Macaca mulatta: one gene and its partner. The protein of the gene in region 1 interacts with the protein of each later gene in a biochemical or structural test. Links are inferred from orthologs where the notes say so. Each region holds a gene or a part of one and is shown on either strand. Other genes may lie near its edges.

Evidence for each region.
Region 2: the proteins of RBPJ (region 1) and SPEN form a complex in vitro, tested with the Homo sapiens proteins (2 studies listed by BioGRID and IntAct). The link is inferred for Macaca mulatta from reciprocal best matches to the Homo sapiens genes RBPJ and SPEN.

Annotation. Positions count from the first base shown.
Region 1 is NC_133410.1:25,359,599-25,363,870, forward strand, and holds the start of RBPJ (recombining binding protein suppressor of hairless), read left to right. Parts: upstream 1-1,374; 5' UTR 1,375-1,488; coding exon of another isoform or gene 1,489-1,508; intron 1,509-4,272. UniProt on the Homo sapiens protein: Transcriptional regulator that plays a central role in Notch signaling, a signaling pathway involved in cell-cell communication that regulates a broad spectrum of cell-fate determinations.
Region 2 is NC_133406.1:225,091,381-225,095,187, reverse strand, and holds part of SPEN (msx2-interacting protein), read left to right. Parts: coding exon 1-3,807. UniProt on the Homo sapiens protein: May serve as a nuclear matrix platform that organizes and integrates transcriptional responses. In osteoblasts, supports transcription activation: synergizes with RUNX2 to enhance FGFR2-mediated activation of the osteocalcin FGF-responsive element (OCFRE).

The DNA of each region.
Region 1 (4,272 bases):
GCTCTAAACAAACACCTGTCCTCCCTTGGCTTCGCGAGATTTGGAGCGAAAGCCTAGGCAACAGGGGGCACGTTCTCGCGAGGTTTAGGAAATTTCCCACGGCCGTGTTGTGTCTGAGCCGAGTAGTGGAAGGCGGTGGGAAGGAGGTGTAGCGTGAGACGCGACTGCCCGCATTGGGTGCATGCGCAGTGCCGCTCGCGCGGGCCGCGCCAATCCTGCAGCGCCTTCAGCAGGTTTCGGGCGGCGAATTCCAGTTCTCCGGGTTTTGGGGCTCCCTGCGGGAGGCAGTGCTGGATTGGGAATCTCTAGGAAAGGAAAGGGCAAAGGAGGGGAAAAATGGGGGGCTGCAGGTAGGAGGAGGGGGCGGGGTTCGGGCTCTGCACCTTGCTGTTCAATGCCCGGCGGGGCCAGGTTCGCCCGGGGGCTTCCGGCATCAGGCCGCCTGAAGCGCGATTCGGGCAGCCGGCAGCGTCTTCGGCTGTGCCAGGCCCTCGGGTGGCCCGGTTCCCTGTGCAGTAGTGGCCTCAACACACACCTGGGCTCACACACGGTGGCGGCTGCGATGGGGTCTTAGAGAGGCCATGTGGCACGCGAGCTGCAAGAGCTTTGATCAGGGCCTCTGGCCCGACTCGGAGGTGGGAGAATGTGGCTCTCAATTCCAAGGCAGTTTTCCCTTCTGGAGAGAACTACTCCGCACCCTGGCGTGTGTCTGCGAGGTGGCCATTAGGGGTGTCTTTCCCAGAGGCCTTGACTTGACCTCATTTCACACCTAAGGAGAACGCTAAGCCGAGAGAGCTCAACTGCAAAAGTTTTCCGTTTGCGGAGCTCTGGAAGGGCCTCCTCATTAGCATGGGGGTGTAATGAATGAAGACAGTTCCCGACGTGTCACTTGCCCGAACCCCAGGCACCTCTGACGCTCCTGCACCTAACGCCGAAATTAGCATAAAGGAGGCGCCCAGGGAACGTCTGAATGAATGAAAGGAGCTGGGAACCCAGAGTGAGCGGGAAGCCGCTTGGAAAACACCCATTGAGGAGGTGTTTCATCTAGGCCTGTGAAACGCGGCCCATTTTCCCAGGACCCCTCCTCCCTTCTCCTCGGCCCCGCCTCCTGACCCCTCCATTCCCCGTCCCCGTAGTAATCCCCTCCGGTTTTCCTCAGTCTCCACGTACGTCCCTCAAGGCGCGTCCCAAAACCTGGATAACCGGAGCGCTCCCCATGGACCACACGGAGGGCTCGCCCGCGGAGGAGCCGCCTGCGCATGCTCCATCGCTTGGGTAGGTTTCCAAGGGAGGCAGCGAGCAGGATCCCCTACTCTGCGGGCGGCGCGAGGCGTCTGGCTCTTCGCGGCGGCGGCGAGGGGAAAGGGAGCGCGGGGGCTGGGTGGAATCGAGGAGTGAGGAAAAAGGGAAGGGGCGGGGGAGAGGGACCAGGGAAGGCGTCGGGGGGAATCTCGCGAGGGTTGGAGTTTTGGCGAGAGTTTGTGGAAGATGGCGCCTGTTGTGACAGGGTAAGTCCGAGGGAATCGGAGCGCTGGGAACCGGGAAAGTTGCGGGCGTCTGGCAGCCCGCGGCGAGCGGCGGATTCGGGGGCCGCAGCGCGCTTGGCGTCCGGGGGCCCGCGGGGGCGGCGTCGCGTGCGCCGAGCGCGGCGGCGGCTGCGGCGTGTGACCGTGCGCTGCCTCTGCGCTGCCGTGGCTCGGGCTCCGGCGCGTGAGGGCGGGAGGCGGCGGCGAGGCCGGCGGGTGCGGGCGTGAGTGCGGCCGGGCGCGCGGGGCCCTCGGGCGCCGTGCCTCCCGCGCGCCTCCAGCGGGCCCTGCCTGGGGGCCCCGTGCAGCTTTGTTCCTCGCGGCCGTTGTCGCCGCCTCGCCCCGCTAGTGCCCCCGGCCCCGGGCGCTTTGTCTTTCCCCGCTGCCCCCCGCGACTCTCTACCCCCGGCCCTTTGTTTCGCCGCCTTGGGCGCTTTGTCCGACCCGTGGCGCCCCGCATCCTCTTTCCATCTCCTCCCCTCCGCTGTCCTTCCTCCCGTGCCCCTTTGTTGTGCCCCACTCTTGTCGGTAGCCCAGTGACCTGCCACAGCCCGGGCACCAGATTCCTGTCTTAATTGTTCTTCCATTGTCTTTCTCCTGTGGGTCCTCTCTCACCTTTCTCTGCGGTCCTGGATCCCCCCCCCCCGAGGCGTTGTCTCCCCCATCCATGGGCTTATTCTCTCGGCACCCCCTTCCTCTCCCGTCATCGGTTGATTTATCCACTACCCCCGGTGTACGTCTGCTGAACTGTCTCAGCCCCGGAGACTCCATCTGCTGCTTCTAAGTGCACACAGACTCTACGGTTTGTTGTTGTTTTGTGAGTCTGAAAGATGCATGGGATACTTAGTTTCCTCCTCCGCACCCCTTTTTCTCGGGATTTCTTGCACCCCCCGCCCCCCCATCGCCACCCCTTTCTTTCGGGATTAAAGCGTCTCCAATTTTCATCGCCGTCTCTTTAGTGCGGTGGGTTGTTTTGCTTGGAAACAGTAGCCCTGGAAAAAGGTCTGGTCTCTTGGTGGTTCTTGCGTCCCCCGGCCCCCGGCCCCCGCCCCCCTCCTGGTTCCTGACGGCCTAGGCCAAGGGCAGCTGTCTGTCGAAGCTTTGCATTTAGGTTGCCTGAGGATGATTGGAGGGTATCGTAGGACGGTTAGAAGGAGGCTCAAGATGTATATATGTGTTTTTCTGTTAGTGTTTGAGAATAGTTTCAGATATCCACAATGGATATTCATTTGGCATGTGAGTAGGAGTTGAGTGAATTTCCATGTTGAAAACTTGTGAGTGTTGGGGCGGAGAATTTCAGCATTTTCTAGAAATCTGGATTTAGAATTTATCAGAAACTCCTGCCTCATAAGGAAAAGGAGAGGCATTCCGGTTGGGAATTTTATATAAATGTTTTACTTTTTCTTAATCATTAGATGGTTTACAGTTATGTGCGTTTTTGCTGCTCTGTGGATGCGTGACAACCCTTCTGTCCCATCACTGGGGTTGAAATGAGGACAGCACCGAAGAGTGCAGTTTCTGATTGATGAATACTGCTTCTAGGATCTTTGTGGAAGATATTAATCAAATGCAGTAAAAAGTATACGTAAAGATGTATATTATATATATGTAATAGCCTGTAGTGAGATTATTTTAAAGACACTTCCTAGTGTTAAAGGACCCTTGAAGTGTTCTTACTGTTTTGGTAATGCTAAAAGCTTGGGGTTGTGTGAATGGGGATGGGGGGTGTGGTGTGATGTCTTTTAATGAGTTATTCTCGTGCTAGGAATAAGAGTTATTATATTTACCAGGATTACTATGCTGAATGTATTCTTCAAGAGTGAGTTTGTTTCTACTAGTTGGTCTCTACTTTTAGAAGGTATGTTACACATAAAATCATTTGGAGTGTCATTTCATTTACAAACTGAAGTTCTACAATAGTAAAGTGTTGTTTATAGAGGACATATGAGATCTACTCTAACGAGTATTGGAGCATTGGAAAGTATTTTTTTTTTCTGGCTGTGATTAGAATTAGTAGTTTGAGTTTTAATTAATGGAAAACCATGGTTTCATGATTGATACTTAAGTTTTTTTTTGTGAAAATCTGCAGTCTGGGTCGCATGAGTGGGTTTTACCAATAATCTTATGTCTCCCTTACTTGTTCTTGTACATAATGATTCTTTTGAAGGTAAAATCTTAAGCTCACTGGTTTTCTGACTGGGAGCAAAGTGTAAATACTGTGTAATAATGGAGGGTATTTTGCTCTGACTTGTACCTGTAGAATGATTACACAGACATGATAAAAGCGCTTTTACCATTTGAGTTGCGTTTTTCTTTCTAAATCGTGTAAGACTTTTACTTTGTGGTGAAATAAAACTGCTTTTAATTAAATTATAACAGCAGCATATTTCGAAATCTGGATGAGTTGTGGCTGGAGAACTTTCATTCTGAGTATTAACTATTAAAACTTTAAGTTTTATTATCCATGCATATTGCTGATGGATCTGTGATTATATTTTCAGAAAATGAGACTTGCAGTATTTTCACATCTGTACTGTTCAAAACACTTGTAGGCTTTAGATTTTAAGCAGTTAGATTTGTTAAAAAAATTACCTATTGTCCTATACCAACGGATTTCTGTCAATTTTTTTTTTTAAGTGGGTAAGATCAAAATTGGTTTGGTTGAAAGGCCATTCTTGCCAGATGTAATTCATTAAATAACCTTTGGCACCCTTGATGGGTAAGGCATTAGGAAAAAATTGTTTTG
Region 2 (3,807 bases), on another chromosome or scaffold:
AGATCTCATGCCTTGCGTGGTTTTGACTCGAGTGAAAGAGAAAGAGGGAAAGGTCATTGACCACACTCCTGTGGAAAAGTTGAAAGCCAAGCTTGATAATGACACTATTAAATCTTCAGCCCTGGACCAGAAACTTCAGGTCTCTCAGACGGAGCCTGCAAAGTCTGACTTGTCTAAACTGGAATCTGTTAGAATGAAAGTACCAAAGGAAAAGGGGCTTTCAAGCCATGTTGAAGTGGTGGAGAAGGAGGGCAGGCTTAAAGCCAGGAAGCACCTCAAGCCTGAGCAGGCTGCAGACGGGGTAAGTGCTGTGGATCTGGAAAAGCTGGAAGCAAGGAAAAGGCGCTTTGCAGATTCCAATTTAAAAGCAGAAAAGCAAAAACCAGAGGTCAAGAAAAGCAGTCCAGAGATGGAGGATGCTCGCATGCTTTCAAAAAAGCAGCCTGACGTATCCTCTAGAGAGGTCATTCTGCTGAGGGAAGGAGAGGCCGAAAGAAAGCCTGTGAGGAAAGAAATTCTTAAAAGAGAATCTAAAAAAATCAAACTGGACAGACTTAATACTGTTGCCAGCCCCAAAGACTGTCAGGAGCTTGCCAGTATTTCTGTTGGGTCTGGCTCAAGGCCCAGCTCAGACCTACAAGCAAGACTGGGAGAACCAACAGGTGAATCTGTGGAAAATCAAGAAATCCAATCAAAAAAACCCATTCCCTCAAAACCACAGCTCAAACAGCTACAGGTATTAGATGATCAAGGACCAGAGAGAGAAGACGTTAGGAAAAACTACTGCAGTCTTCGTGATGAAACACCTGAACGTAAATCAGGCCAAGAGAAATCACATTCAGTAAATACTGAAGAAAAAATTGGCATTGACATCGATCACACGCAGAGTTACCGAAAACAAATGGAGCAGAGTCGTAGGAAACAGCAGATGGAAATGGAAATAGCCAAGTCTGAGAAGTTTGGCAGTCCTAAAAAAGATGTAGATGAATATGAAAGACGTAGCCTCGTTCACGAGGTAGGCAAACCCCCTCAAGATGTCACCGATGACTCTCCTCCCAGCAAAAAGAAAAGGATGGATCATGTTGATTTTGATATCTGCACCAAGAGAGAACGGAATTACAGAAGTTCACGCCAAATCAGCGAAGATTCTGAAAGGACTGGTTGTTCTCCCAGTGTCCGACATGGTTCCTTCCATGAAGACGAGGATCCCATAGGCTCCCCTAGGCTAATGTCAGTAAAGGGGTCTCCTAAAGTAGATGAAAAAGTCCTCCCCTATTCTAACATAACAGTCAGGGAAGAGTCTTTAAAATTTAATCCTTATGATTCTAGCAGGAGAGAACAGATGGCAGATATGGCCAAAATAAAACTATCTGTCTTGAATTCTGAAGATGAACTAAATCGTTGGGACTCTCAGATGAAACAAGATGCCAGCAGATTTGATGTGAGTTTCCCAAACAGCATAATTAAGAGAGATAGCCTTCGAAAAAGGTCTGTACGAGATCTGGAACCTGGAGAGGTGCCTTCTGATTCTGATGAAGATGGTGAACACAAATCCCACTCACCCAGAGCCTCTGCATTATATGAAAGTTCTCGATTGTCTTTTTTATTGAGGGACAGAGAAGACAAGCTACGTGAGCGAGATGAAAGACTCTCTAGTTCTTTAGAAAGGAACAAATTTTACTCTTTTGCATTGGATAAGACAATCACACCAGACACTAAAGCTTTGCTTGAAAGAGCTAAATCCCTCTCTTCATCTCGTGAAGAAAATTGGTCTTTTCTTGATTGGGACTCCCGATTTGCAAATTTTCGAAACAACAAAGATAAAGAAAAGGTTGACTCTGCTCCAAGACCTATTCCATCCTGGTACATGAAAAAGAAGAAAATTAGGACTGATTCAGAAGGGAAAATGGATGATAAGAAAGAGGACCATAAAGAAGAAGAGCAAGAGAGGCAGGAATTGTTTGCTTCTCGTTTTTTACACAGCTCAATCTTTGAACAAGATTCCAAGCGATTGCAGCATCTAGAGAGAAAAGAGGAAGACTCTGACTTCATTTCTGGTAGGATCTATGGTAAGCAGACATCTGAGGGAGCAAACAGCACAACTGATTCCATTCAAGAACCAGTAGTTCTGTTCCATAGCAGATTTATGGAGCTCACACGAATGCAACAGAAAGAAAAAGAAAAAGACCAGAAACCCAAAGAGGTTGAGAAACAGGAAGATATAGAGAATCATCCCAAGACCCCAGAATCTGCTCCTGAGAATAAAGATGCAGAACTAAAAACTCCACCTTCCGTTGGGCCTCCAAGTGTCACAGTCGCAACTCTAGAGTCAGCCCCATCAGCACTAGAGAAGACCGCTGGTGACAAAATGGTAGAGGCGCCTTTGGTAACAGAAGATAAGACTGTGGAGCCAGCCACTGTCTCAGAAGAAGCAAAGCCTGTGTCTGAACCTGCTCCTGCCCCTGTGGAACAGCCGGAACAAGTGGACCTGCCCCCAGGAGCAGACCCCAATAAAGAAGCTGCTGTGATTCCGGCAGGTGTTGAGGAAGGTTCATTAGGTGACCAGCTGCCTTATCTGGATGCCAAGCCTCCAACTCCCGGGGCCTCGTTTTCCCAGGCAGAGAGCAATGTAGATCCAGAGCCTGACAGTACCCAGCCACTTTCAAAACCAGCTCAGAAGTCTGAGGAGGCCAGTGAGCCAAAGGCTGAAAAGCCAGACACCACTGCAGATGCTGAGCCTGATGCAAACCAGAAAGCTGAAGCTGTTCCTGAGGCTCAGCCCCCAGCTTCTGAAGATTTAGAGGTTGATCCTCCAGTTGCTACAAAGGATAAAAAGCCAAACAAAAGCAAGCGTTCAAAGACCCCTGTTCAGGCACCTGCAGTAAGTATCGTGGAGAAGCCCGTCACAAGGAAGAGTGAGAGGATAGACCGGGAAAAACTCAAGCGGTCCAATTCTCCTCGGGTAGAAGCACAGAAGCTTTTGGAATTGAAGATGGAGGCAGAGAAGATTACAAGGACTGCTTCTAAAAACTCTGCTGCAGACCTTGAACATCCCGAACCAAGTTTGCCTCTTAGCCGAACAAGGCGCCGTAATGTAAGGAGCGTCTATGCAACCATGGGTGACCATGAAAACCGCTCTCCTGTCAAAGAGCCCATTGAGCAACCAAGAGTGACCAGAAAGAGATTGGAGCGAGAGCTTCAGGAGGCCGCGGCGGTTCCCACCACCCCTCGGAGGGGAAGGCCTCCAAAGACACGCCGGCGAGCCGATGAAGAGGAGGAGAACGAGACCAAGGAACCTGCAGAAACACTCAAGCCACCTGAGGGATGGCGGTCCCCACGGTCCCAGAAAACTGCAGCTGGTGGTGGCCCCCAAGGGAAAAAGGGAAGAAATGAACTGAAGGTGGATGCTGCACGTCCTGAGGCCACCACTGAGGTGGGCCCCCAAATAAGTGTGAAAGAGAGCCCCACGGAACCCAAGGCTGCTGAGGAAGAGGCAGGGAGCGAACAGAAATGTGACAGAAAAGATGCTGGCACAGACAAAAATCTCCCTGAAGCCGCCCCTGTTGAAGTTGTAGAGAAAAAACCGGCCCCTGAAAAAAACTCCAAATCAAAGAGAGGAAGATCTCGAAACTCCAGGTTAGCAGTGGACAAATCTGCAAGTCTGAAAAATGTGGATGCTGCTGTCAGTCCCAGGGGGGCTGCAGCACAGGCAGGGGAGAGGGAACCCGGGGTGGTGGCAGTCTCCCCTGAGAAAAGTGAGAGTCCCCAAAAGGAGGATGGTTTATCATCCCAATTGAAAAGTGATCC